Diceros bicornis minor: one gene and its partners. The protein of the gene in region 2 interacts with the protein of the main gene of each other region in a pairwise test. Links are inferred from orthologs where the notes say so. Each region holds a gene or a part of one and is shown on either strand. Other genes may lie near its edges. The genes, in order: HNF1B, PCBD1, trefoil factor 3-like and HNF1A.

Region 1 (6,878 bases), on a different chromosome or scaffold from region 2:
AAAAGTTAGGGAACTTAAGTGGTCTTCTAGACTACCCGGTCATTTTTCAAAAGTGGAATCAGAGGCCTAGAGAAGATGCTCACCAAAGCCTTTGGGAAGGTGAAGAGTCATCCAGAAAGGAGTGTTGTATCCAGAGCTAGAACCTCAGGCTCCTAACCCTGCAGTCTAGAATGTTCCCCAGGTTACAATGCTACTTTCCAACAATAAGGCCCCTAACCTCCTTCAGACCAAGATAGGGCAGTATTTATGTTTTACTCTAGAGATGATTCATTTTGAGGCCTTCTAGAGCCTCTCTTGAATCAATGGGAAAGCTTGGAGAGTGGAGCAGCAGAGGATGGAGAGGACCAGGCTCTCCCTGCTGTAAGCAAAGCAGGGTAACCATGGAAAGTAGGGGGAAGACTGTAAGCACAAGAGCAGAAAAGTAATATCACCTATGTTGCCAAGTTATAGGAGAGGTTGACTCCACAGGAACCACATTTGCCATTCTGTGAAATTTCCAAGATGGTGCTCAGAAAACCTTCATAGAGTGACGAGCCAACTGGATTTTAAATTATCTTACACCAGGGACTACATTTCCCATAGAAAATCTTGGTATTTGAACTGTGGATTCATCATTTGAGTAGAAGAACCTAATATGGTGTCTTCAAATTCAGTAACTCTTGAAAAAACAAACTGGGAATAAAAGCATCCAAAGAGATCAACTGCATCACTTCTTTGTATGCTTTCATGATGTGCTGCTTCTTTCTAAACATGTGAGAGCCTGTCATATTCCAGGACCCTGCAGTTACTAACTCATTTAATCTTCACAAAAACACAGTAGAGTATTATTATCATTTTCTGCATAAGGAAACTAGGATCAGAAAGATTATACAATGTGCCCAAGTTGCACAACTGGTTAAGCAGATCTGAAACCCAAATTTAGGTCTGTTTGACTCCAGCGTCTGTCCTCTATTCTCTGCTGTGGATCCTCCACTTCTCCCTCATAGAATCCCCCCTTTCAACTTTCCATCTCCCAAAGCAGTAAACTAGAGACCTTCCTCTTTCATCCTAAAGTCTTGCTCAAAAGTCCAGAGCCCCAATCTCAATCCTTCCATTAATTTACTCCAGCAGCTCCAAGCCATCTCCTTAAAAAGTCCTATATCTTATTTTCTCATTTTTAAAATGGGGCTACTCTATCAGTCCATCACCACTTTATCCTATGTGAAGCATAAACAGAGTATTTCAACTGTATTCTTGCTTCTTCTGTTTGGGGGAAGTTTAACCAAAGGGTTTTATCAAATCACTCATTTAGTTAGCATTTATGACCCACATCCTGAAGGACTATCTACTGAGATACTTACACTTTTCTTTTTAAATTTCCATGTGACGGGGTAGGCGTTGAATCTGTTCACAGATCTATAGTTGCAGTTACTTGATGAGCACCCATACTACACCAGGTGGCTTAGACAAGGTAGGTCTGGGCAGGAGGATTTCAGGAAGTTGCTGGATCTGCATAACCAGATTGCCTGGAAGACATACCTGGACACTCATAGGAAGTTTCCTCGTACTCTGTGAAACTTCCTGTTTGTTCATATAGTTGGCTTAGGGTAGGGGGAAGAATGGGTTTGCTGACACCTGAATTTTGAGAGATAAGGAAGCTTGAGAGTCAGACTGGGCACACAGTAGTTAGAACTACAAATCAAAGCTTTGTTGTTAAAAGGGAAGTGATTGCTGGTTTTTTAATGGGTTTTCCCAGCTAAACACAGAAAATGATCTTCATACACTTGACTGCTTCTACCGTGATAGCAAGTGAGAGACAGAGAAGAAGAGATTGTTCTCCAGGGACATTTACTCTGAACACTTCATTATCCTGGTTGAGGGGAGCTGGGTAGGCAGAGAAGGTTCTCCCACTGGGCCAAATTGTGAGGGGCAAAGACCTGCCATATGTCACAACAAACTAGAAGACAATAAGGTGAAATGAAGGGCCTTCATTTCCATGAACTTATTACCCCTTTCTCAGGGAAAGAGAGAGTGAGAGAGCATAAACCTCCCCCAGGGCTCCCTGCACACACCCACCCCCCTTCTTTCTGCTCCCAGCACAGGTGGCCCAGGCATCTGTAGCAGACCCTGTATTTAAAGAGGCAGCCTAGCTCCTTAGCAGCCTGACTTGGATCAGTCACATCTGGAGTTTCAGCCCTCAGACACCCAAGGATTTGATCTCAAACCAAGCAGATGGGAGCGGCTGACACTTCCTCCCCACGCTGAAATTCTTCTCTTCCCCTGAAATTCCTCTCTTCCCGAAACTAACGCCAACTTCCTCCTAATTATCTTTTAAAGGTGGAAAAGGTAGGAGAATTGCTTAGAAACTCCTTTGCAAGTTCCCTGCTGATTCTAAATTTTTGTCCCTAATCTCCAAGTCCCTCCAACCCTAGCACTGGATCTGCCTGATTCTGAGAATTTCACAGGTGGTCTCATTCCATGTCCCCTGCACTGTAGGTATCAGTATTTTACAGATGAGGAAGCTGAGGCCTAGAGAGGGGAAAGGGATGCCCTCTGCCCCAGGAGCTGTGGGTCTGTGAGCGGTGGATCCTGAGAAGCCCCTTCCCCTGGTCTGCACGTCAGGTCCAGCCTGTAGGTCTAGGTGCGCCTCATGCCTCCTTCCTTTCCCCTCGGCGCCCCGGGAGATGCAGGTGAAACTCCGATCGTGCTGCAAGATTGTTCCCGACTTCTTTCCCTCCGCGGCTTTGTCGGCGCCTTCTCGACTTGCGCTTTCTCCCGCCACTGCCGCCGTGACCTCGCGTCTGCAGAGCGCCCTCCCTGGCCCTGGGAACTGCTGTGTCCTGGAGCTGGGAATAAACCAGAGATCAGTGGGCCGGGAGGACAAGCGGCTCCAACTGTCCATCCAGCCGCAGGCCAAGCTTTGCTTTCACCGCTAGAAAGGGGGCCCCGCAATCCTAGTTTTGCCCCGAAAGCGGAGGCGCTTTGATATTCCGGGTTTAAACGCGAGCGTGGCCCAGGCGTCCAGCTCTCCCGCGGCTTGGCCAGGCTGGGTGCTGGTGCAGCTCGCTGCTGGGGGAGCTAACTTTGGCTACTCCCTCTGGCCATAAATTAATCGGTGCCTCCTTCCAAGGGTTCTCTGGGCCTCCTTCCCGCTCGCCTACGCTCTCCAGGCCGGCAGTTCTGCAAACCCAAATCGCCAGACCGAGTTGGTGAGCGCAGAGCGGTACCCCAGGTAGAACTAAATGGGGTCCCTGCAATCCGCGTTCACCCCGCCGAACACCTCCCATTTCTCCCAGGTCTCTGCGTCCATTCCCAAGTGGTCAGTTTCTCCTCCGCGGGGCTGGCTCCCGGCCCACCACCTGCGTCGGTTAAGATGCCTCGGAGGGTCTCTACTCCCCGCATCCTCCTCCACCTCCTTCTCCCAAGAGCACCCCGACTTCCTCTAGCTCTCACCTGAACCCCCGAAGCGCAGTTTCTTCTTCTCGGCAGACTAAAGCCGGACCCGCAGCCTGTGGAAAAGCCCCTGCACCTTCCACGCAAGGCTGCAAGCTTACTTGCTTAACAAGTCCAAAGGTCAGCTAAAGTTTGGCTGATAAACAGAACCAGTACAAGAAGGGCCTCAGCCCCCCAGCGTGAGTACAATGGACCCTGGCAAGCCCCGCTCCCGGCCCGGGTCTCCAGCTCTCCTCGTCTGCCCCTCTTGCTCTCCCTCTCTCTCGGTTTTCCCCCTCCCCATCATCATTTGCATCTTGCCGAAAGCCGGGCCCTCCCCGCTAATTTGCATATCTTATATGGCCTAATGGTGGCGATCATGGCAAGTTAGAAGTTTTCTGACTCCTCTCGGAGGAGACTCCGGGACCCCGGAGAGTAACAGGTGTCTGGAGGCTGAAGGGTGGGGGGGTTCCTGGACTTAGGGTTCGCTTGTGAAACTCCCCTCCACCCTCCTCTCTCACACCCACCCACCCCCTCACCCCCTTCTTTTTCTGTCCTTGGAAAATGGTGTCCAAGCTCACGTCGCTCCAGCAAGAACTCCTGAGCGCCCTGCTGAGCTCTGGGGTCACCAAGGAGGTGCTGGTCCAGGCCTTGGAGGAGTTGCTGCCATCCCCGAGTTTCGGGGTGAAACTGGAGACGCTGCCCCTGTCCCCTGGGAGCGGGGCCGAGCCAGACACCAAGCCGGTCTTCCATACTCTCACCAACGGCCACTCCAAGGGCCGCTTGTCCGGAGACGAGGGCTCCGAGGACGGGGACGACTATGACACCCCTCCCATCCTCAAGGAGCTGCAGGCGCTCAATACCGAGGAGGCGGCGGAGCAGCGGGCGGAGGTGGACCGAATGCTCAGGTAGGCGCCCATCGAGGTGGGGAGTACACACCCGAGCCCCTTGAGCCCCTGGCCTTGTGCCTGAGCGACACTGCGCCAGACGACTCTCGCCAAGCCTGTTTCCCACCAGAGAAGTCCCCCGGGGGGCGCTCCGCTTCTCTCCCAACACCTGGACCCCTCCCAATCCCTCAACCGGACGGCCCGGAGCCCTGAGGCTTCATCTCCCCCTGCCCAGGCCAGAGCCTGAAACCCGAAGGGCCCTGTCGGCCGGGCTGGGGCTCGGCCTGGGAGAACCCGAGCGGCGGAGCCCTTTGCCGCGAGGTTTGCCCACGCGACTGAAGGTGCGCGTGGGTGCTGTGAAACAGCGGTGATTTCCCAGGAGCAGAGGCTCAGGCCCGCACAAGCCGCAGGCCACGCATTTCTCCCGGGCACCGTCTCTCTCTAGTCGGGGAAGCCGCAGGCCAGCCTCGGGCACCAGCGTCCTGCCGTTCTTTGCAGAGGGACAGGCGGCCCCTGGGGCCGGAATCCAGGGGGCGAGTTCTCTGGTGGGCACTCCCATCCGCAGCGCCCATGCAAGGCCCCAGGGTTATCCGGAATCCCCAAAGCCAGCTGAGATTTGCAAAAGGAAATATTTGCATGTTGTAAGGTCAGGGCGGACCCGCAAGGGGCAAAAGAAACCACATATCTAAGCAAGTCAGGGGCAAACGACCCCAGTTCGCGGCGGATTTGGTCGCAATCTAGCCGCCGACACCCCGGCGTCCCCGGGGAATTCAGGCAGGCTGGCCGGCTGTCTATCTATCGGTCCGGGATCGTTTGCTGGGCCTCTCCGACCGGCCTAGGGCTTTGACAGCTGGTTACTAATTATCCAAGGAGCCCAGCGGTTCCCTTAGACCGCACGTCGGTCCCTGCCACTCCGCTTTAGGACCGAGTCCCTCGCGTGGCCTCGGACACTTGAGCACCGCGGTTTCAAGGCAGGGCCAGGGCCGAAGTCGCGCCCGGGACTCGGGCAGTCTCGGTCGCACGCCCGCAGCGGCAGTTTGGGATGGGATATGACCTTGTATTTGAATTTGCTATTTGGGGACCCGGTGGTTTTCTCTCTAGCAAAGACAATCGGGGACTTCTAGATTTTTCCCCCCCAAAGTATTTTTGCTACAATACGTAGGTTTGGGGTTCTTCCCCGGCGGTTTCCCCGCGTGGCGGCGGTTTCTCCCCCTCCGGGGTTAGGGCAAGGAAGGTGAGGGGTCGGAAGAGGAGAGGCTGGGGCGCAGGGAGGCCCGGAGTTTGACCAGGGCCTGGCAGACTAACCGAGCTCCCGCCGCCGGCCACTGGGAGCCCGCGAGGCCTAGGCCCATCCTCTTGGCTGCAGGCGCCCGCTTTCTAGCGGGGCTCCGGGAGGATCTGAGAAGCCCGAGGCGACCTAGGGCGCCCCTCCGCACCCAGCCCCGCGCGGAGCTGGACGCAGCAGAGATGTAACATAAACTGCAGCACGTGGAGTTAGGGTGTTATTAATTTATTTCTATAAATCATCAACAGAAAGATACACAAAGAGTCGTGATTAGGTTGAAAAGAGAGGCGGGTTATTCATTGGTGAAGTTGTAAACGCGGCTTAGAGGGGGAAGGAAATCAAAACGCGGACGCGGGACTGTCCGCCGCTCCCTGCGCACTCGCACTGCGCTGCGGGGCGCTCCCAGCTAAGCCCCCCGCGCCGCCCCGAGCCCTGGCGCCCGACCCGGGCTGCCAGAGCGCCCGAGCCGCCGACACCTGCAGGCCCGGCCGGCGCAGAGCCAGGCGCGGCCCAGGGTCCCGGACCTCAGCCCTCTTCCCTCTGCAAAGCCCCGGCTCCAGCGGGGCGGGGAGGGAGGCTCGGGGGCCCGAGACCCCCGTTGGGTTGGGCACGCAGGACAGACCCAGAGGTTTTTCTCCCTTGCCCAAGCGGGTGCTGCCTTCCCTCTCCCACCTTCGGGAGCAGTCGGACTTTATTAAAGTAATTTTTCAAGAAATTGCTAGCGGTTCCCAGGTCACTGCACAGTCGGCTCCTGAGCGCCAGACACTCCCACCGCCTTTTTTGCCCACCCTGTTCCCCCCGAAAGCGGAAAGAAAAGAACAAGAAGAGGCACTTTGGGGAGCGCCTGGACGCGCTTTATACCTCCTAGAAGAGGAAGGCCAGAGAGGAAGATCGGGGCCTTTGCGCTCTCTCCCCGGGCTCCGGCCCCGGGTGAGAGCCGCCTCGCCCGGCGGCCTCTAGGCTGGCGCGCCGGTGGCCTCTGGAAAGTTGGCTGCTTCGTAGAAGCCGGAGTGGCGGCTTCTTAACGAACGCGTGGCGACCTGTGCTGGGGTCCAGGGCTTTTCTGCTCGTGGGCAGCGAAGTCATTGTTCGAAAAGGAGCGTGCTGGGCGAAAGATGCGGGCGCCGCGGCCGGGCGTTTGACACCTGCGCTCCGAGCACAATGGCCGGGCGCGCTTCTCTGGATCGGTGTGTTTTTCGGGTTGGGAACCCCCAAGCATGAGCTGTATTTTCAATAAAAAACCATAACCAGCTCTCCGGGCTCTTCCCGGCGAATACACGTGAATTCTGTGGTCG
Region 2 (7,619 bases):
GCCATACCCTATTGAAATCTTTGAAATGGAACTGCTTGAAGATGGCATCTCGGCCTTCCAGCTCATTCCACCCCACAGCCCTCAGGTTTGGCAGCAGCTGGTCCCTCTCCTCAGCGCTTAGCCTGTGTGCTTTGCCAGCCTAGGAGAGGAAAAACACAGAGCCCAAGGGCATTTCTTTTTACAGGACAAAAGAAAGGGCCCCAGACCTTTGGGGAAATTTAGCCAGCCTCTACTCGCTGCTCTGGACGCTGGTGACACAGTCAAAGGGCAGCTGGTCTAAAGCAACAAACTGGGAGGTGTGGAGGGTGGCGCCCTGGCTCACACACTGATAGGTTCTTAGATTGTACACCCCACTCAGAGCACAGAAAATCCTGAGGTGTAATGCAAACATCGGGACTGAGAAACACTCCTCCCCTCCCCCTGCCCCCAAAGCCTTACAGAGGCCCCCCCGCCACCCCCAAAAATAGGTCTCTTACGTTAATGAGGGAGTAAAAGCAAAATCAAGCCCAAATGTGTACGTGTTACAACACAACCTTTCAGAAAGAGTCCCCCGACAGTCCAACCGTCTTTTTCTATTATGGACCTTATCCAGTCCACCCCACGCCCCTACTGTTTTTCACTGTCAGCTGTATGGAAGAGGAAAGAGGCCAGAGAGGGGAACTGACCACTCTTCTCCTACCCCCTCACCCCTGGTCAGGGAGGGCACAGGCATCGTTCTCAAGGTGGGTATGTGTGTCCGCATGCCTGCGGCCAGGCCAAGGAACCAGCACCTAAAACACGTTCCAGGTAATTCTTAGCCATGCTGCAGTTGACACCCATGGGCACTACCTCCCAGTGGGTCCTCCATCACGCTCCTATGCAGCCTCTGCTTCCCAGCAGCCAGGCCTAGGCTTCTCTGATTTCCACCTTCTTTTCTGTTCTGTCGGCTTGGGATGCCCGAGCCACAGAGCTCAGTCCCAAAAGGGGAAGTCACTTGGCCAAGGACAACTGGCAAACCTAGTGCCCCATCCTATGTACCTACTGGGCAGCCGTGACGGCCCTTGGCACAAACTGGCCCAGTTGAGGCCATGAGCGGAGCCTCAGAGAACCGAAGGAAGCAAAGGTCAGTTCCACCCTCTGGGAGGAGCCAGGTCCAGGAGCTTAAGGGATCGCAGAATTTAGGCTCCTGAAACAACGACCCAAGGACAGAAGCTGTAGAGGGCTAAATTAAAAACCATCAATAAGCTCTGCGCGAGAATCGAGGGAGTTCATCTAGCTTTCATGAGGCAGACCGCGGACTGGAAGCTGCAGGGTGGGTTGGCAGGACTGGTTCAGGCCCCAGTTCTGCCACTCTCCAGCCAGGTGACCCGGTGGCACTCATCTCTCTTGGCTTCTTGGGTAAAATGGGACAAGAACTTCCACTCCACAGAGCAGCAGGAGGAGCCAGTGGGACACTCAGTCAACTCCACGGTTAGTAAGGAATGTCATCTGCATTGTTAAAAGGAGACTCCCTGGGGCAGGCAGGCTACCATGGGCCCTGCAGGTTGGGGCAGAACTGCAGAAGCATGGCGGCACTCTTAAGTCAATCTTTTCCTTCCTCCTGAAAACGCCTGTTCTCTCTGGACTGATCTGGTTCGTCCGTCTTCTCAGTTCCGGAAGGCTAGAGCCGGCAGCAGAGATCTGCATCACGCGCCCATCCCCATCTCTGTTCCACAGCTGGCCCTTTCTCAGTGGCTGATAAGCCTGGTCCATGTATCCAGGCAACCGGCTGGATGACCAGACATCAGCCGAGGCATCAGAACCCACTGTTTAGTTCTCTGGCTCTGAAAGCAGTGCGTGGGTACTAGTGAGCTCCTAGGAGGCCTCCCCTTCTCTTCAGAGTCTTCTGGAATCCCCCAAGTTTCACATCTGGGTACTGAACTGACAAGCCCCTCTGAGATCTGGGATCAGAGAGGGGGGAAGGGGTAGTGTTTGCTTAGTAAATCACAGGTCAGGCCTGGTGGCCTCTGTCTCTGGGAGACTGTGGGAAGGGGTTACTGATTACCATCCTTGGGGCCTCAGTGCCCCTCACAGTCAACCTCACCCGCCACCTCCCCTCCCTCCAAGCCACAGCCTTCAAAATGCCCTCTCAGGTGTCACCAGAGTCCCGACTGCTCCTAATGCTTTTGGGCCAGAAATGGGCTGTTTAGTAGGGCTTCCCGGGTCTAGCCAATCCTCTCCTCGCTGCCCGCGGGCTCCCCTTCACCTCCCTAGCTGAGGGCAGGGGGGCGGGGTTGAAGCAAAGCTGAGCACAGGGCCTGAGACCCTGCTGTGGGGAGGCTCAGCCCAGAGGAGGCATGATCCTGAGCAAGCATGTCCCCATCGCTGGGCACAGGCCTCAAACCAGGAGCCAGGGGCTGGCTCTGAGGTCGGGGCCCAGCCCCTGTGGCCAGACGTGCAAGCGAGGAGGGCAGTAGACAGGCACGGAGAGGAACACACACATTCGGTCTCCCCTCACACACACGCGTCCCCCACCTCTAATATGGAGCAGAACCGTGCCTCCGAGGGGACGAAATCTGCGGGCTCACTGTGCTGCCCCTCCCCACGCACGCCCTGGAGGTCACGAGGCCCCGCCCGCAGCATTGCGGCGCCGAGGGGACACTGGCCTGGGAGCAGGGGCAGGCCTGGGCTCCCGCCTCTCTGACACGCGGACCTGCCGCCCCCCCTCCCGGCCTCAGCTTTCCCGGGGCACCACCGCGGGTGGGAGCGGGGCGGAGACCCCCACTCTCCAAGGCCGGCGGCGGCTGGTCTGCCAGGGGCTGGGAGGGACCCTCACCCCACCCCCGCCCCGCCCGCGCGGCCGGCCTGGGCGGGGACCCCGCGCGGACCCCTGCCTCTCCTCCGGCCCTCCCACGCGCCCGTTCCCAACGGGGCTGCCCCGGTGGCGGCGGCACGCGACCCCCTCACCATGTCGGGGCGCTGCGCGGACGCGGGCGGGCGGCAGGTGGCGGCGGCGAAGGCGGGCGCGGCGCGGGGCGCCCTGGGCAGCCGTCGGGCGGGGCCGCCCCGGGGCGGGGCCGCGGCCGGGGAGGGGCCGCCCAGCGGTAATCTTTAACTCGGGCCGCGGCCGCGCGCTCGGCCTCTGCTCCCTTCCGGCACTTTCCTGGGTGCTGTTACCGGGGGCTCAGAGGTTAAGTACGCCGGCTCCAAATGCGGACTTCTGCTTGTGAATCGTGCTCTACCACTTACCAACTGTGTAACCCTGGGCGCGAGATTACCGTTTTCTTTTTTAAAAACACCTTATCGAGGTATTGTCCTGCAGTAAACTGCACGTATTTAAAGTGTACAATTTGATGCGTTTTGACATACATATGCTCCCGTGCAACCATCACCAGGATCAAGATCATGAACACATCCATCACCCCTAAAAGTTTCCTTCTCCATCCTCAGACAGCCATTGATCTGCTTCTGGTCACTCTAGATTAGATTGCATTTTCTAGAATTCTGTGTAAATAGAAATCCTACGGTTTATACTCTTTTTGTGTCTGGCTTCTTTCACTCAGCATAATTACTTTGTGGTTCACTCATGTCATTGCATATATCAATCGTTTCTTCCTTTTTATGGCTAAGTAAAATCTATTTTATAATAGTACATTGTATTGGATATGCCACAAGTTGTTTATCCATTCACTTGATGGACGTTTGGGTTGTTTCCAGTTTTTGACTATGCTATGAACTTTTGCATAGGAGTCTTTGTGTAGATATACACTTTCATTTTTCTTGGGTAAATGCCTAGGAGTGGAATGGCCAGGTCATATGGCAGGTGTATGTTTAAAACTTGTTAGGAAACTGCCAAACCGCTTCTCCAAGTGGTTGTACCGTTTTGCACTCCCACCAACGGTGCAGGAGAGGTCTAGTTCCCTCGCACCCTCACAGCTGCCCCACTACTTGATTGGGTCAGTTCTTTTAATTTTAGCCGATCTAATTGGTGTGTAGTGGTATCTCATTGTGGCTTTAGTTTGAGTTTCCTTAATGACTAATGATATTGAACACCTTGTCATGTGCTTTTTTGCCATTGGTACGTCTTTGATAAATTGCCTGTTCAAATTTCCTGCCCATTTTTTAAAATTTGAGTTGTTTGTTTTCTTATTGGATTTTGAGAGTTCTTTATTGTGGATACAAGCACTTTATCAGATTTATGGTTTGCACGTATTGTCTTTGTATTCTCACAGTGTCTTTCAAAGAGCAAATGTTCTTCATTTTGATGAAATCCCATTTAACAAATGTTTCTTTTATAGATTGATATTTTGGTGTTGTAACTAAGAAACTTTGCCTAACCCAAGGTCACAAATATTTTTCTCTTATGTTTTCTAGTTTTTGGTTTTACATTTAGGTTTATGATCCATTTTAAGTTAATTTTTTATATGCTTTGAGTTATGGATCCTGTCGACGCAAATAATCTGTAATCAGTCTATAAATCAAAATTGGGGTGAGTTTGTTATGAGCCAGGTCTGAGGACTATAGGCCAGGGGCTTCCTTACCCAAGGAAGGAAGCACACCAAAGAAGAGGAGTGTACAGAGTGATTAAATACTGTCTTGGAACAAAGAGCATACATCACATATGACGGGAATATCTTTTTTACTACTCTCACAAGATGCTTAGCTAGCACAGCAGGTCAGTGGTCACGCGGTGAGCACAGCGGGTGGGTAATCAATCCTTAGTTTCTAGGAAGAGATGCTTCTGCTTAAAGAAATGCTGACATGGGGGGAAAGCCACATCCCTATCTTTAAGGGCATTATTCTTGTCTTTGGGACACTGTAAATGTTTAAAGCGGATGTACAATGCATGCTCAACAGGCCATGTCAGGCCTTTTTGGAAAAACAAGGTCAGGCCAAATTAGTTTTAAACCAAATGGCTTCCTCACATACTCCAATATATCCTATTGCTTTTCATTTATTTATCAATCCAAATTCACTTTTTGCATATGGATATTCAATTATTCCTTTCTCCACTGAATTGCCTTTGCACCTTTGTAAAAAATCAATTGAGCGTTTATGTGTGGGTGTATTTGTGGATTCTCTATTCTGTTCCATTGATCTATTTGTCCATCTCGATGCGGGTACCACGCTGTCTTGATGACTGTAGCTTTATAAGTCTTGAAGTCAGGTAATATAAGTCCTCTAACATTAAAAAATATTTTTTTCTATTAACCTTTCTCCCTAAACTCCACTTTTATTCCTCTCCTCCCAATAGTGACCATTTTAATGTGTTAATATGCATTTTTGTTTGTACATGTTCTTGCAAAAATGTGTGTTGTTGTTTCATCTATATGTATTTTTGTTTTTTTCAACAAACAGTGCATGATTTCACTCATATGTGGAAGATAAACCAACACACGGACAGATAGAACTGTTTGGTGGTTACCAGGGGCAAGGGGGGTGGGGAGGTGGGCACAAGGGGTGAAGGGATGCACTTATATGGTGACTGATAAACAATAATGTACAACAAAAATTTCACAATAAAAATAAAATGTGTGTTGTTGTTTCATCCATATGTATTTTTGTTTTTTTAAATAGTACTATATGCTGTTATCTCATTCTTTTTCTTTCAAAACAGACTGGTTAGTGGACAGTTAATATGCATCCACGTTGCTATGTGTGTACTTAATCTGTAGCTTCTAACCGAAGCTTACTATTCCATGGCGGGAATCCCCCACGCTTTATTGTTCCACCGGTGATGGACACTCAGGTTGCTTCCAACTCCCACCACTACCACCACCTCCCCGAACACGTGAGTGTGCCACACACACACACACATGCAGGGCAAAACAACGAAGTGATGGTGCAGTGAGCATCTCTTCCAACTCAACAGCTCCCTGGCCTGGGCCGGCCCCGTGGCTTAGCGGTTAAGTGCGCCCACTCAGCTACTGGCGGCCCGAGTTCGGATCCCGGGCGCGCACCGATGCACCGCTTCTCCAGCCTTGCTGAGGCCGTGTCCCACATACAACAACTAGAAGGATGTGCAACTATGACATACAACCGTCTACTGGGGCTTTGGGGAGAAAAAGGAGGAGGATTGGCAATGGATGTTAGCTCAGAGCCGGTCTTCCTCAGCAAAAAGAGGAGGATTAGCACGGATGTTAGCTCAGGGCTGATCTTCCTCACACACACACACAAAAAATAGCTCCCTGGCCTGTGGGAAGTTTCTTAGACAACTTAAATATGGGCATAGCCTATAAATCCAGCAATCGGCCTCATGGGTACGTTTCCCAGAATAGTTCCAGCTGCTGTCCGGAGTGGCTGCACCCATCCTCATCTCACCTGCAGTGTGGGAGGCCTCCTATTTCCCTGCATTCCTCACCCAGACATCCTCACCCTTGGCTTTATTTAACTTTTTAATTTTTGCCAAGTTAATAGGTATAAAACGACAGCTTACTGTTTTACTTTGCATTTTGCTGATTGCTAATGATTCTGAGCACCTCTTCATGTGCTTGTTAGCATTTGGGGCTTACTGTTTGTAAATTGCTTTTTAATATCCTTTGCCAATTTTTAAGAACTTACAGCTCTTTTTCTAGTTGATTTGCGGGAGTTTCTATCTACAAATTAATTGCTTTTCAGTTTTAGATACTGCAAATATCTCCACCCGTTCAGCCATCCGTATACCAACTTCTTTCGTGGTGTCCTTTGTTGGCAGAAATCTTATATTTTGGTGTAATAAGATTTATCTTTTTTTCTCTACTTTATAATTTTATGCTTTTGAAGATTTATTTGATTAGTCCCCTCCCACCTCTACCATAAAAATATTTTCTCTTTTCTTCTGTTAACTTTATAGTTAGGTAAATTTAAGACCTAAATGTGAAAGCTCCCCTTGGTATGCAGCATTAGGCAGGAAGTTAGCCCATGAAACTGGACTCCCAGTGTTCACACCTATGGCTTCTGCTACTCATGGCCAGTCACTGGAGTGGGGCTTCCTGGCTGCCCAGACCTTCAGATGGCTTCAGCCCCAGCAGCCCTCTGACTTCAGTCACATACGAGACCCCGAGTGAGAACATTGCCCAGCAGAAACCAGGCAACCCACGGAACTATGAGAAATAGTAGCACATTTTTATTTTAAGCCACCAAATTTTGAGGTGGCTTGTTATACAGGAAAGATAACAGGACAAATAGATTCTGAACAAAGCTGGTACCTGAAGTGGAGTGTTAAGACCGACGGAAAACATGTAGCATTAGCTTGGGAGTGGAGGTGAGTAGAAGGTGGGAGGAAGGGTTCAAAGACGCTAAGGAGGCCTTGGGCTTCCACTGGGATGTAGAAAGCTGGAAAGAGTGTTGCTCCCACACTAACAATGAGAAAAGCTTGGATATACTACAAAATCATCACTTTCCTTCAGCTTGCTAGGGAGCTGAGTTCACAGGGCAGCCAAATGGCCTGAATTCCAAGGGGGCCCCTCCAAGGAGAGACAGACACAGACGTGCAGCCTGGCTCCCTGTGCCAGCACTCGGGGAGGAAGGGGGAGACACACAGCCTCCATAGAAGTGGGGAAGAAGAAATCAGCTAACATTTTAACAAATTGTTGGAGGCCAGATGGGTGCTGGCATATCAGTCTGGAATAGCTGGGGACCCCAGACACTGGCAGAGTTTGCACACACTGACAGCTTTTATC
Region 3 (7,234 bases), on a different chromosome or scaffold from region 2:
TATTCCAAAGAAAGCCATGCTCTGAGGTTCCAGGAAGGACATGGGTATGGGGAGGACACAATCCATCCCAGCACACTTGGAAGTCACTTAGTGACAATGGCTTGATTCAAAGGGAAGAAATCTGAAGCCCAAGAGCGCGGTGGCCTGTCCATCTGGGCTGCAGGCTGGTGGGAGGATCGGCTCCCTGGGGTCTCCCGCCACTGCCTGGGACTTTTGTACAATGCTGCCTGCACCATGGGGTTTCAGGGACAGTCTTCCACCTTTCCTGGCTGTCCTCCTAGGACACGGCTCAGTGCAGGGCCGTGGGCGTTCATCAGGCAAGAGTTGAGGGCTTATCCGGGTCCCATTACAGTGTGCTGTGAGGAGCTCAGCTCCCTGCTGGTCATCTGAGTCCAAAAGGCAGGGTTGTCAGTGTGGGGCCTCGTGCCCCCGGGCACATCTGCTCCCCGGTTATCAGCTCTGTTTATTTCCGACTTATCTCTGCTCTTGCGGTGTCCTGGTCCTCTGCTGACTCATTCCTGGAAACCCTTCCTTGTCGTAACAGCACCTGGGACTGATGCAATAATTCCAAACCCGAAGAAGCTCTGGATCTAGAGGTCACTGTGGCAGGAACCACCCAAATCCACCTGCATCTGGACCTCAGTGTCCCCTGAACACCCGGGGCCGTCACACGCCCCCCGTACGTGGTAGGACGGGCACTGGCCCCGTATTGGGGGCAGGAGACCCAGGGTCCATGAGGGGCTTCCTAGGGCCCACGGCCTCCGTCCTGACTCACCGGGACTCTCTGTCCTCTCCCCTGCCTCCTCCACAGTTGGTGAGTGACATGTTTGCATGGCCTAATCCCCCCTCCCCTATTTGTCCTCAGTGGAAATCACCCCAAAACACAGGAGCATCCCTGAATAGGTCACTAAGAATGCTTCCCCAAAACATCTATGCTCAGGTCCTGGTTGCTCAGGAAGGATCCGGCAGGAGGAAACTGCGGGGAACACAGGAGGGGCCTGCACCCGAGGCAGCTGCAGAACGATTTGACAGCTGGTCAGCAGGCAGCTCCCCGGGGAGGCATGTGACCCCAGGACCAGCCCAGGGATGTCGATTAGCTGAACCCTTCTTCCATCTGGCTTTCTACTGGCTTGAGTAACCAAGAGTGACAGTATGAGAAAGCTGAGAGGTGACGTGGAATGTATAACCCTGTAGACGCCACATTGACTCTATATTTCCCCGGGGGTGGTCAGTTAGTGGCCCCTGACTGGAATGCCCTTCTGACCCTCACCCATCTGTGAACTCCTACTCATCCCTCAAGATCCAGTTCAGACATCACCCCCCATGAGATGACTGCAGCGTAGCATCCTGCCAGCCCTGGTCGCTTTACATCACAATTCATGCTTCAAGGCTTGTTCTCCCTCTCGGGGCTGTGGGCTCGGAGGTCAGGGACTCTGCCTGGCGTCCTTAGAGCCCAGCACTCACAGGCCATCTGTCTGGCCCGTGATCCGCACGCAGCCCGTGCTTGTCACGTATATGTGCCGATGGTCATGCATCCCGCAGGTGGGAGGTTGCAGGCCCAGCACTGAGGGCCAGAGCACCTGCTTCTTGGATCCACCCAGGAGGCCCTCGCTTTCCTGGGACACCAGCTCCCACAGCAGGGGAGGGCTCCCAGGACAGTCCAGGCAGAGACGCGGCTGCAGAGGAGGAGGAAGGAGAGAGCCTCCAGCAGGCACCAGAGCATGTTCACCTCAGGTTTAGGGGTGTGCACGGCAGCCAGCTCTCAGGGTGGGGCCAATGACTGGTGACCCCGGGGCCGGCAGCTTCATCCCTGGAACTTGAACTCCCCACTCAGGGACAAGGAGGCTGGGAAGGCTACGGGACTGTGAGCCCTGGAAGCCAGTGTGGGCATCCTCTGCCCCTGGTGGGGAGCCCGGGGTTCCTGGGTCGAGGGCTCACTGGAGCAGAAGCAAGGGGCCACATAAAGACTTTCCCCACAAATACTACCTCAATTGCTCTGGGCTCCCAAGCCCGGCTCAAGCCCCTGTCCTCTAAGATGTCTGTGCTGTTCCCACCTTGTGGAATCCAGCTCCTCCCCACCACCGCCATGCCACAGCTGCCACATCTGTCGGACCCGGGGGTCCGGGAGCCCGGACCCTGGCAGGTGGTCTGTGTGTGTCCCTGGCGCCCAGCTGGGCTCTGTGGCACCCTAGTGGGCTAGGCACTAGGTGGGGGTGAGGAAACGGAGGCACAAGCGGTGAAGTGACTTGGGACCACGTCTCTCGGCCTCTCTGTCATAACTACAACATGACCTCGTCTCCCCATTGGGGACTCTTCAAGGACAGGGATTTGTCACCTTCCTTAGTCCTTCCTCAGCCCCAAGCCCCAGGCTCAATCGACGTTAACTGAGTTACACTGAAGTCAAACACCAGGGGGTGGTCCTCTGCGCTGGCTGCCCAGCAGAATTCAGGTGTCCCTGAATTGCCAGCCTGGGCAGGCAGGGCCTGGTGTCCACACTGCCCCAGCTCTCCAGGTGACGCTAAGGGCAGCCAGGTGGAGACCCGGGCACTCTGAGATACTCCCTGATGGGGCAGCCTTCAGATAACTGTCCCTTCTAAGCCCGTTTCTGGGGTGTTTGCTCTTTTCCTGGAACCTGGCCGGGATCCACAACCTGGCCTGGCCTGGGGGTATTTTGGGGGGTGGGTACGCAGGAGGGAGGGTCTGGCCAGAAAAGGTCCCACTTCCCCTAGGACGATCTTTTCAGTAACATAAACATGGTGCCATCTTTTAGCTTGGGTGCCCTCTCTCCCTCTGGGAAGAAAGCACATGTCCTGCAAACAGCACAGAAATTGCTCTGCCTTCACCCCTGCACTTGTCTTGGAAGGAGTGGCAAACCAGATGGCGAGTGTCACCTCAAATGGATTCATCAAGGGCTCACTGAGTACAAGGGGCTGGGCCTGGGGAGTCCCAAAGTGGGACACGGTCCTTGTCTCCAAGGCGTGTACAGTCTGGACCCATTGGTCTCTCGGTGAAGGACAGCTATGTGGATGAACCCTTGATTGGTTCAGGTCCCTCCAACACCAGACCCCCACCGGAGGCTATGTTTGACCAGCCAGGTGCACCTGCTTCTGGGATGACACACAAAGTCCACTTTGAGGTTCTGGAAGAGTTACTGGGTATCATCAGTGCTGAAGAGATGGATAGGAGTGCCCTAGGCAGAAAAGAAAGATGGGGAACCCGACAGTCACCAGGACTCCACACTCTCCTGCTCTCACTGGTCAGCCAGCAGGGGGGGGCGGGTGCTGGGCACGGGGAGTTGAGACTTAGGATCCTGTAGAGGCAGGTTCAAACCCAGCTCCCTCAGGTCGACCAGAGTAACCTTTGACACCCACCTTCAACTTGGAGCCTTAGTTCCTCCAGAAAATTCCCATCTCATTTAGATATGCTGTTATAAAACAATTTCCAAGGTACAGCTTTCCAAGCTGAGCAAAGGTAGTGAGTTCCCATTTGTGTTAAAAATGTGCTCAGATCTAGAGAGAACATTTCTGGAAAAACACCAGAAAAACACTTCTGGACATGAGGTGTGTCTTTTGTATTGTCTGATTTTAAAAACCAACTGCACGTATTATTTTTGTTAAAATGTATTGAATAAGATTACTTAGTATATTTATTAAAATGTAGTTAACAATAAAAATATTTTGTTGCTGGAAAAAAGCAAACAGGAGAGGAATATTCGCCTCTCAAGAGTCCAGAGAGAGCCATCCGTGGGCACAGCCCACCTGACTCAAGGTCGTCACCTGTCTTTTCAAGCACCCAGGGCTGATCTGGGGTTAAGTGGCCTGGGAACTCTTGTCATTAGTAGGGAAACTTCTGGACTGCTCCTGGGTGGGTTGTTGGGACTGACGCCCAGCCCCACACTGTGCCTTTACCCTTTCCTCCAGGCCAGGCTAACCGGGGCATTGACAGCCTGCTCCCTGAGAGAGAGGTGCTAACCCGGAGTCTGGAACCCACAGTTGCCCCTTGCTTGCTACCAAAACGGTAGGATGGAACCACCCTCTCTGCTTTGGGATAGAAGAACCTCTGGGGGCTTCACAGTCTGTGCAGGGGAAAGGCAGGCGGGGCCCAGAGCCAGAGGGAAGGGCTGTCCCCAACAAACAGAATCCGGGTGCTTGTGCAAACACAGGGGTATAAATGAGTCTTCTTGGCTGACCTGGCATGTCCTCTGAGCCCGCCCGTGACATGGAGGCCAGAGTGCTGTGGCTGCTGGTGGCGGTCCTGGCCTGCGGGTTCTCCAGGTTGGCCGGGGAGTACGTGGGCCTGTGTGAGTATGCCTCTGACTGCCTCCACCCTGCAGCAGGGAGGGGCCCTGTGGGTGGCTGGGTGGACTCACATGACGAGGGGGAGGGACGCAGAAGATGCAGGCCCAGGGGCTTTCTGAGTGCTTGAGGAATGTGGCCAGGCCCCCATGTTGATTCAATAATTGCCATTTAGCAGTCACACACATCTTCTCTCAACAGCCCTACAAAACTGGGTCTTGCTGTCCCCACGTGACAGACAAGAAAAGTGAGACTCATGAAGGTCCATAACTGACCAGAAGCAGCCGTCCTGGTCAGTGCTGAAACCAGGATTCCCCCAGGTCTGCCTGGCCGGCAGCCGACGCCCAACCCCACCTCCCACTGCCGTCTTTGCCAGAGATTTCTGAATCGCAACAAAGATCTTTATTCATGGTTTTGGCTCACTTACAAAACAAGAAGGAAAGACAAATGAAAGTGATTATTTCCAGAACGTTTCAATACCTACAAACAATTTTCATGTAGCTATTACATTGCAACTCTAGATGGGGGATGTGGCTGTTCCATTAACCCAGTTTAAAGAAATCAGGGTGTGGCTTTTATTGGGTTATCTACGGAGCCATGTCAGAGGCAGTGGCTCCCAAATTTGGTGCCCGTTAGAATCACCTGGAGAAGTTTTAAAACTGCCAAAGCCCAGGAGGCACGAATTCCATCAGCACGTCTGTGGTGGGAGCGGGTATCAACAACTTTTAGAGTTCCCCAGTGATCCCAACATGAGCAGATCGGGAACCACTGGAGTAGGAAATTATGGACTGGCAACAATAGAAGAAGGTTTAGGAGATTTTCATGATTTCTATTTTCCTAAGAAAAAATCCAGTTAGGTACTGAGGCAAAGTGGACTTTTGTCGAAATTCGGACATACAGGCTTGCTAGAAAAATGAGTATTGGAGACTGAAGGATGTACAGGGAAGATGTGACAAGTCAAACAATTTGGGGGTAGGGAGATGCAGAAAAGAGACAGAAAATAGATGCGTTGTGATTTTTCTATTGAAGGTTTATCTCCTATTATACTATTCATTTTTTTAAAAAGGGAGGAGGTTTTCGTTGATAAAACAGTGAAGGGGAACTTTGGACCCCTGATTCCCATGGGCCCCTGCCAGCTGGAGGGAACCCAAGCCCATCTCATACCGACTTCCTGACAAGGGGCTGGGAGCACACCAGTGAGAGAGACACCCCGGCAGATGGCCAGATTTCCTACAGAACGCTTCTCTTTAAATATTTACATGGAAAGAGGGTCCTCTGCAAGCAAACATTTGTGGGGGTGGGGGTGGGGTCACATCCTTTGAACTCAGGAGCTGGGGGAGGATGCAAACTCGCAAAACGAAGCCAAAATGACCCGGCTTTGTTCCGGACAGCTGCAAACCAGTGTGCCGTCCCGGCCGAAGACAGGGTGGACTGCGGCTACCCCGAGATCACCTCGGAGCAGTGCAACAACAGGGGCTGCTGCTTCGACTCGAGCATCCCCCGGGTGCCCTGGTGCTTTACGCCGCTGCGGGAGACAGGTGAGCCGGCCCCCGGCACCGTGTCCTTTCCGCACCCTGCAGAAGGACCTCCAGGTCCCCAGGAAGTTGCACACACCTGGGCCCTGAGCAGGACACCCACAGGCTGCCCGTTGGTGGAGGCCTCAGTCAGAGGCTTCACGCCAAGGACAGCCAGTGGCTGTCCCCCTTGTCCTCCGCTGTCCCCTTGCCGAGGGATTTGTACAAAATACAAAAGCAATCATTTAAAAAATGTGTTCAAAGTCGAGGTATTATGCAGAGGGAACTAGTTTAAAAACTATCCTGGAAAGAAACAGAAAATACCAGGTTTGGAAAGCAGGGCCGACATTCGAGGCCAGGTTCAGCAAACCACTGAGTCTCTGTCATTTGTGACGTGCCCTCGGCAGATGGCGGATAGTGGCAGTGCTGGGCACGGTGCCCTGGTGCCACTCCGCACCCCGCCATCTCCCCCCCACCCCGTGCCCACCACCTTCAGGTGTGCAGTGGGTACAGGACAACCACCCCAGGGAATCCCACGTCAGCAGTAGATGGCCATGCACACTGGTGGTTTGCTGTCCTGACTCCATCGGCCCTGCCCACCACATCTTGGGCATGGAGGTCTGCTGTAAGCCACCTGGCAGCTCAGGGGCTGGCTCACCTTCTAAGGAGATAGGTACGAAAGGCACCTTCCTGGAATCAGCACCAGAAAGGACCACTCTGGCCCTTTGTCTGGTTGATGAGGAGGGGGGCTGCATTCCAGCTGACCCTGACTCCCTGATCAATGATGGGGCCCCTGCCCAATGCCAGGGCCTCCTCCTCTTCCCAGCAAAGCCAGGCAGAGTCCAGATAAGGCCTTGGGACCAGGAGGGAAAGTTGCCTATTGCCCCTTCCCAGGCTGTCCCCATTCATTTGGCTCCTCGGCCAGGGATGACACCTACCGCTTTGAGCACTGGGCGACCCTGCCGAGGCCCATGTCATTTATCATCTGCCGCTATCCCCTGAGTCTTGGTGAGGCTTGTGGCTACTCTCCTATTTGGTGGGGGACTCAATACATCCCCAGCGACTTGGGGGAGAAGGCAGCGCTAGGCGCTGACCTTGAAGCCTGTCTTGACCTTGAGAAGCCAGGCAGCTGGTAGGGGGAGATGAGAATGCTCACGGTAATGCACGCCTGTGCTTTGTTTCCAGAATGCAACTTTTGAAGCGATGCCCACTGCCTGTGGGCACCCTGGGGTGCGACCTTCCACACTCTGGGCACCCTCCCCACGATTCTCTGCTCGTCTCTGCTTCCCTAGCAGCCTGCTCCTGGCAACCTGAAAGCTAATGTCTGGGGCCTGATGTCTTAAGGAATAAAGATCCCATACTCAGCACGGAGACGAGTCTTCATTCCTGAGACTTTATGCTGTTGTGTCTTATTTCTGCCAAGTC
Region 4 (7,636 bases), on a different chromosome or scaffold from region 2:
AGCAGGAGATAGAAAATGAACAGATAAACAAATCAGATCATCCTACATAATGATAAGGGACAGGAGAAAGTCAATGAAAGTAGTGGACGAGAGAGTGACGGGGGTGGGCCTACCTTTAGATGGGGTAGTTGGGGAAGGCCTCCCTGAGGAGGTGACATTTGAGCAAAAGGAGGAGAAGAAATCAGCCATGGGAAGATCTGGAAAGAGGGTTCCAGGCAGAAGGAACAGCACATGCAAAGGCCCTGAGGTGGGAATCAGCAAAGTCAGTGTAATTGATGGAAAGAGAGTGAGGCAGGGAGGTCCCTCAGAACGAGGTCAGGGAACCAGGGCAGGGAATTTGAATTTTATTCACTGTCCAGGTAGGGAAACTGAGGCAGAAGGTGGCGAAGAAACTTGCCTAAGGTCACAGGGTGAACTAAGGGTGGCAATCTAAGGGAAGAGCTCAGATTCCTGCTGTGGCCTCAAGCACGGGGCACCCTGGGGAGGCCTGGAATCCAGACCCACCCCTGCCTCTTCCCAGACACTTTCTGCAGAGAAATGGCTTCCACTGGCAGTCCTGCCTCTGCATCATCCCTTCCAGCCTTAACCTTCCTCAGTGCCCAGGCCTTCATCGAGGGTCCTCCACCCCTCTCCTTCTGGTGCCCCGAGGCTAGAGGCCCCACTTTTCTCCCTCGAGGCGTTCTCAGATCCCTTTTGTTACCTGAACAATAAGTAACCCAGGTAGTTAGTTATAAACTCCGCAGGAACAAGGAGCTGGTTGATAATTTATAGCAACATCTCAAATTTAAATGGAAAGTAAATAGCATGCTGTTAGCATTAAAGAAAACCCAATCGGGGCGGGCGGGAAGCACTCCAGCCTCCTCTCAGCTTGGGGCGCCTCAGTCTCTCCCGAGCCCCTTCTCCCAGCTGGGTGCGAGCCCCTCTCCCCTCCCGCTGCTCTGCTCAGCTCTGCCACTCCAGGCCTCTCTCTCCATCTCGCCCGACATCCTCTCTCTTCCTCCCTGCCTCCCCTCTCTCCCTCAGGTTCCAGGTCTCTGCTGGTCCCCAGGGAGCACTCTGACCTCTGCTCCCCCCTCAAGCGCTGTGGATCCAGCCTCCCCCCTCACCCACCATCCCACCACAGGGGCTGCTGATCAAGAGGCCCCACCCCGCCAGGTAAGAAAGGCCCTTGGACCCTCTGCCTCCGCTCCCACTCAAGAGCCCCCAATCCCGGCTAGGGCCCGGAGCCAGTCTGGCCCAGCCCCACCCTGTCCCGGTGGCCCTCGTCCCAGGTCTGGCGATGCCTGACTCTTTGCCCCTCCCCTGCAGCCCAGCGGGGCCCTTTGCCCTCCTCTTCCTGCCAAGTCAGGGGGCCCTGGCTGCTCCCCTGCCCGCTGCCCGGGCCCTCACGAGGCCTGGCAGACCCTGAGGGCTCCCTGAGGCGGGATCCAGCCCTCCCCCACCCCAAGCTGGGATCAGGACCTTGGACAGAAAAGACGTGGTCCCCTGGAGAGGCCTCTTCCTCAGACAGCTCCCCCAGCCACCCCCGGCCGGTCCCTGGCCCCCAGTCATGGCAACTGAGAGCACCAAGCAGAGTGGGTGTGAAGTCCCAGCTGGGTGGCCTTAGTCAAGCTGCTTCCCCTCTCCGGGCCTCAGTTTCCTCGTCTGCGAAGCAGAGTTATCCATAGCTTCCTCCCAGGGTTCACCTCAACATTATCCAAAATGATACATGTGAAACTTCAGCACAGCGTCCCGCTGTTAGGATGGAGGTTAGGGAGCCTTTGGGGAGGGGCGGTCCCTGAGCCCCCAGGCCCCCCTCCCTCCACCCCCACACTCCCCATCCCCCACCCCCACTGAGTGGGAGGTTGGTTGGCCCAGGGCTCCCCAGGCCACCATCCCTCCAAGTTAATGATCACAGGCCTTATCAGAGCCTTTTGCTGTTTATAAATTTATAAAACAAAAGAGAAATAATAAAGCTTGCGGGTAATTAGTAACCAGGTTAGCTCTGCTGAGGAGAGGGGAAGCATCTGGCTCAGACCCACCCAGTTCTCTGGGAGATGGGGAGCCAGCCAATGGATGGGGGTACAGAACGGGGAGGACTCTAATGGCGCCTGAGGCTGTGCAGGAAAGAGGAGCAGCCCCCACCCCAAGGCTCCATCTCCCTCAGGTAAGAAAGATCTGGGCTTTCCTGGCTGAATGCTTGAGTCGCCGGGTGGTTGGGGAGTCCCCAAAACCCCAGCCTCAGCCCCTCCTCCCCAGCGGTGCATCCTGTCGCTTAGCAGGGCAGTTAGGGTTTCGGGAGTGGAAATGGCCGTGGTAGCTAAAAATTCCACCCCCCACCCCGGTTCTCCAGGCACTTGAATGTGGATTCTCCCTCTTTTCCCCGTCTCGGAGCTCCCCTGGGGCATGTCCCCACTTCCCAGGCACTGGGCTGAAAGCCGCGGCTCGTGGGGACTCAGACTCTGCAGAGGCCAGGTCGGGCCTGGAGGCTCCAACCTCAAGCAAGGACCCCCCACCCACGCAAGCTCTCCTGGGCCCTGTCCCCTTCCTGACAACTAGGCTCGAGGCCACACTCGTGGAACTCTGGCCTCAGAAGGCCCGGCCAGGAGCAGCGGGTGGGCCCCTGGGGAGCCGGGCACAGGGAAGGGGCCTTACTGCAGCAGGGTCTCCACCACGGCTTTCTGGTGGGCCGCCTCCTCGGGGCTGAGGTTCTCCAGCTCTTTGAGGATGGGCGGCGTGAAGTCTTCCCCATCGTCGTCCGTCTCGTCCTCGGAGCCCCTCGTTTCCCCCAGCCCATTGGGCAGCTCGGCCAGCTCCCCTCGGCCGCCGCCGGCGCCGCCGCCACAGGACTCCCCCTTGTCCAGGGGGCCATCCCCAGCCAGAAGGTAGGGCCCCGGCTCCCCCAAGGCCTGGATCAGCGCCTCCTTGCTCAGGCCCGACTCGAGCAGGGCCGCCAGGAGCTCCGTCTGCAGCTGGCTCAGCTTAGAAACCATGGCTCCTCTGCCGCTGGACCACGCGGCCCGGGGCCACCGAGCTGGCCGCCTCCCCCGCGTGGGCTGTCTCCTTGCCCGCCGGCCAGCAGGCAGGCACAGACCAGGCTCCTTGCACCCACGACCCCCCCAAACCCCACTAGCCAAGCCCTGTGGGCACCCCCAACCCCCAACCCTGGCCCCAGCGGCCAGTGAATCAGGGCCCCTGCCCGCTCTGTTTACATTGGAGCTGGGGAAATTCTCCAAGGTTCATATTCATCCGTGTGCTTAGCGAAGGGCCTGGACTTTGGACTTCAGCCCTGCAAAGTGCGGGCCTCATGGCAGCGCAGAGGGCCGGGAGCCGCGGCCTGCAGTGGGAGTGGGCAGAGCGAGGGTGGGGGAGGCGGCGGTGGGGGCCCAGGGCAGCTGAGGTGGAAGGTGCTGGGAGCCCAGGAGGCCCTGGGGTGAGCAGCATCAGATCTCATCCCCAGGGACCTTGTAGGGGGTCAGGCTGAGGCAGGAGAGCAGAAACAGCACGTTTCCCCTGGGAACAGAAGCAGCAAGTGTTCCAGGCAGGTGGGCCAGCTCTCCTCAAGGGCAAGGCTAGGTCACATCTATGTTGCCACCTCCCATCAGGCCCAACGCCAGGCCTCCCCGTAGGAAAGACTGTCGACTGGCACAAGTCTACTGTGTGCCAGGGATGTGCTGGTCTATAACGTGCGTCATGACCTCACTGTGTCCCCCTCCCAGCTGTGAGCAGGTATGGGGACTATACCCATTTCACAGAAGAGGAAACCGAGGCTCTGAGATGGTAAGCAACTTGCCCAAAGTCACCCAGCCAGCAAGGGGCAAGACACAGGGTGGGAACAGGGTAGGCCAGTCAGACACGAATTTTAAGGGGGCGCCCAAAAACTCAGTATTCAAGAAAAATAATATTTTTATCCAACATATTAAAAATCAAAATGAATGCAAAATCCAAAAGAATTAAAAACATATGCCCACTGGGGCCGGCCCCATGGCTTAGCGGTTAAATGCGTGCACTCCGCTGCTGGCGGCCCAGGTTCGGATCCCGGGCGTGCACCGACGCACCGCTTCTCCGGCCATGCTGAGGCGGCGTCCCACATACAGCAACTAGAAGGATGTGCAACTATGACATACAACTGTCTACTGGGGCCTTGGGGAGAAAAAAGGGAAAAAAAAGGAGGAGAATTGGCAATAGATGTTAGCTCAGGGCCAGTCTTCCTCAGCAAAAAGAGGAGGATTGGCATGGATGTTAGCTCAGGGCTGGTCTTCCTCAGCAAAAAGAGGAGGATTGGCATGGATGTTAGCTCAGGGCTGATCTTCTTCACACACAAAAAAAAAAAACCACATGCCCACATAGAAATTCTCACGTGAATGTTCACAGCAGCATTATTCACAATAGCCAAAAAGTAGAAACAACGTAAATATCCATGAACAGATGAATGGATAAATAAAATGTGGTCTATCCATGCAGTGGTATATTATTCGGCCATAAAAAGGAATGCAGTGCTGATCCGTGCTACAATGTGGATGAACCTGGAAGACCTTATGCTAAGGGAAATAAGCCAGACACAAAAGGTCACATATTGTGAGTCCATTTCTATGAAATGTCCAGAAAGGCAAATCCATAGAGACAGAAAGTAGGTTAGTGGTTGTCAGGGGTGTCTTTGGGGACAGTGAAAATGTCCCAAAATTGATTAGGTGGTGTTACAAAACTGTAAAAACCACGGAAATTGTGAACTTTTTAAAAGGCTGAATTTTATGATATATGAATCAGTAAAAAATATTTTTTTAATTAATGCAAAAAACCTGGGATGAACAAAATATCAACATTTTAAATAAAGCCAGGCTCCAGTGCTCACTCCCCTCCCCCCAATCCCAGCCCTGGGTGAGCACTGGTCCCTCACGCCCCCACCCAGCTCTTCCCTCCTCCAGACAGAGCCTTGATAAAATTCCTGCTGTGTGTCCCCCGGGGTGGCCCTAAGCCCCCAAAACAAAGGATGCACACCATTTCCTGGAGCAGGCGGGGTGGTGCTGAGGGGCCGCCCCCCAGGCTGGGGCATGTCCAGAGGGTCCGCATCTTTCAGGGGTCTGCAGAACCAGGGTCAGGCTTGGCGACAGAGGAAGGGATAAGATGCTATTGGCCAGAAAACCCTCCCGCAGCCAGGCGAGGCCAGCAGGGAGGAAGGGGGCTGGTTGACAATGATAATTGAGCTCTCTGTCAGCTCAAATCCCCTTCTCAGTCTGTCCGCTCCCACATGGGGTGCTCCAGTCCCCCCAACACTGAATTACGTCTTCATTTCTGCATTCACCTTCTGACGTGCTGCACAACTGTGCTGCCCAGCACAGCAGCCACCAGCCACATGTGGCTACTGAGCACTCGAGATGTGGCTAATGCCTTCTGGTTGAAATGATAATATTTTGGATATATCGGGTGAATTTTAAAATTTTTAATTAAAAATTAGAAAAATTAATTTCACCTGTTTCTTTTTACTTTCGTAATGGTACTACTGGAAAATTTTAAATTACATAACATGGCTCACATTATATTTCAGTTGGGCAGCACTGCTCTAGAATTTACTTACGTATTAGGTTTGTTATTTATGGTCCATCTCCCTCTGCTAGAACGTAAGCCTGCTGACGGCAGGGTTTTGTCTGTCTCGTTCACTGCTGTATTCCCAGCGTCTAGAATATTGCCTCGTACGTACCTAGTAGGTGCTCAATAAATATTTGTGGAATGAATGAATGAATAGCTAAATTTCATTGTGCACCGACCTTGTATACTTAGCTCTGCACTAAGCTTTGTCGTATATTAAACTCTCAGAACGACTCTGTGAAGTAGGCACTGTTATTATTCCCATTCTGCAGCAGAGGAAACAGAGGCTCAGAGGGGTTCAATGGCTTGCTCAGGGGCGTCCAGAGCCGGGCAGTCTGACTGTGCAGGACAATGCTGACAGTTGCCCTTTGGGAAAGGGAGACCCCACCTTTCTTCCAGTGTTTTCTTTTTCCTCCAGTGTGAGTCGCTTTGGGGTAAGGGGGCTCACTGCTGGGGGCAGGATTCTCAAGTCCAGGCTGAAGGGCAGGGGCGATGCTGTGTGCTGTCCCTTCGTGGTTTCATGGTGCTCCTGCTTGCCGTACCCTGCCAGGAGGCTGTGTGACGTTTCACCTAGAAGAGGGAACCAGAAAGAGGGAGAAGGGTGGGGCGGGATCCTTTGCACAACTTTGAACTCATGAACTGCTAGGTCCTCCTGCAGCCAAGTGGCCCAGCCGGTGCCTCCAGGACTGAAGGTGGGTTTGGTTGGGAGGTGGACCAGCAGTGGGTGGGGGGAGAGCCTTCAGGAGGTCTAAGGAGAGAGGCCCCCAGGGCCCAACTTCAGCTCCCAGGACACACAGGGGCTATTGTCCTGGGCCCTGAGTGGGGCCCCCTCTGATGAAGGAGAAGGGACATCAGCAACCTGACCCTGCTGCCCCGCAGACATGGAGGCAGACAGACAGAAAGGGCTGCCCTTCCCCACAGTCAGGGGACAAATCTGAACTGACTCCAGGTTGGGAGAGCAGTTTGCCTTCCTGAGAATCACTGTCCCCACACACCACCCCCACCCCTGCTGGGTAGCCTTTCCTGACTCATCTATGAAATAGAAGTATGGATCTGCCAGGGTTGTAAAGAGCATAACGTAGAAATTCCAAACCCCCTCAGTTCAAGGCGCCTCTAGTGTCTCGGTGATGTTTTCACGGCACCTCCTGCCTCTATAAAAAAAACTAACAGTTAACTTTTATAAGTAGTTAGGTTAAAACAACTAATAAGTATTCATGTCCTCACAACTTAGTAGCCGCTTGAAAAATGCACATCAATTGAAAGAAAAAAATAATATTTTAGTTCCTTCTTAATGCTAAGTATGTGCTTATGGGTGGGTGGGCTTGTGGGGCTCTGCACAACTGCTCGACCCTTGGAATTAGACTGGACGTTACCACCCTCATTTCCTGCTCCACAATGATTTTTGCAAGATATTTGCTTGTTATCAGAACAACTGCCATAAACCCAGCTTTACAAAGCTGTGACGTCATCTAAAGGAAGGAAGCTCCTCAAACATTGAAACCGCGAACTACCTTGAGCTGGTAGTTTGCAAGGTGTCCGGCAGATGGCGCTGTGTTCCTTTCAAAAATCCTCTAAAATAGTCCGCAGTGCCCAGGGGCACCTCGGCGCACAGTTTGGGAACTGCGGCCCCAGGGGACGGGCTTGGACACAGCAGATATACCGTCAGTGGTAGCTCTGAGCGTCATCGCCACTCTCTCCTGCCGGGCGAGCAGCTGTTTGCAAGGCCAAAGTTGAGGCAAGGCGTAAGGCTTCTCCTTGGCCTTGGGAGGCAACACTGAGCCCTGTCAGTCAGTCTCAGACTCTTGGAATTCGATTACCACCACCCCCCCCACACCTCGGGGCCCACCTGTATTCAAACTTGAACTATTCCTCCTCCGAGTCCCACTGCCCTTTAAATCTTTATTGAACAGTCGCTGCTATATGCGATTTTCATCCATTTAACATCTCAATAGCCTCACGGGGTAGGTACTTTCAGCCCATACTACAGATGAGGAAACTGAGGCTCTAAGAGCATATGGATCCTGCCTAGCTAGTGCACGGCAGAGCTAGGATTTGAACCCAGCTCTCTCTG

The links.
Region 1: the proteins of PCBD1 (region 2) and HNF1B interact in binary tests that used the Homo sapiens proteins (3 or more experiments, as listed by UniProt). The link is inferred for Diceros bicornis minor from reciprocal best matches to the Homo sapiens genes PCBD1 and HNF1B.
Region 3: the proteins of PCBD1 (region 2) and trefoil factor 3-like interact in binary tests that used the Homo sapiens proteins (3 or more experiments, as listed by UniProt). The two-hybrid records come from large-scale screens. The link is inferred for Diceros bicornis minor from reciprocal best matches to the Homo sapiens genes PCBD1 and TFF3.
Region 4: the proteins of PCBD1 (region 2) and HNF1A interact in binary tests that used the Homo sapiens proteins (3 or more experiments, as listed by UniProt). The link is inferred for Diceros bicornis minor from reciprocal best matches to the Homo sapiens genes PCBD1 and HNF1A.

Annotation. Positions count from the first base shown.
Region 1 is NC_080757.1:25,012,426-25,019,303, forward strand, and holds the start of HNF1B (hepatocyte nuclear factor 1-beta), read left to right. Parts: upstream 1-3,875; 5' UTR 3,876-3,975; coding exon 3,976-4,319; intron 4,320-6,878. UniProt on the Homo sapiens protein: Transcription factor that binds to the inverted palindrome 5'-GTTAATNATTAAC-3'. Binds to the FPC element in the cAMP regulatory unit of the PLAU gene. Transcriptional activity is increased by coactivator PCBD1.
Region 2 is NC_080745.1:35,376,010-35,383,628, reverse strand, and holds the start of PCBD1 (pterin-4-alpha-carbinolamine dehydratase), read right to left. Parts: upstream 3,001-7,619; 5' UTR 2,929-3,000; coding exon 2,926-2,928; intron 140-2,925; coding exon 8-139; intron 1-7. UniProt on the Homo sapiens protein: Involved in tetrahydrobiopterin biosynthesis. Seems to both prevent the formation of 7-pterins and accelerate the formation of quinonoid-BH2. Coactivator for HNF1A-dependent transcription.
Region 3 is NC_080766.1:42,007,995-42,015,228, reverse strand, and holds trefoil factor 3-like, read left to right. Parts: upstream 1-4,218; coding exon 4,219-4,300; intron 4,301-5,686; coding exon 5,687-5,833; intron 5,834-6,703; coding exon 6,704-6,817; intron 6,818-6,994; coding exon 6,995-7,008; downstream 7,009-7,234. UniProt on the Homo sapiens protein: Involved in the maintenance and repair of the intestinal mucosa. Promotes the mobility of epithelial cells in healing processes (motogen).
Region 4 is NC_080774.1:17,393,526-17,401,161, reverse strand, and holds the start of HNF1A (hepatocyte nuclear factor 1-alpha), read right to left. Parts: upstream 3,011-7,636; 5' UTR 2,973-3,010; coding exon 2,635-2,972; intron 1-2,634. UniProt on the Homo sapiens protein: Transcriptional activator that regulates the tissue specific expression of multiple genes, especially in pancreatic islet cells and in liver. Binds to the inverted palindrome 5'-GTTAATNATTAAC-3'.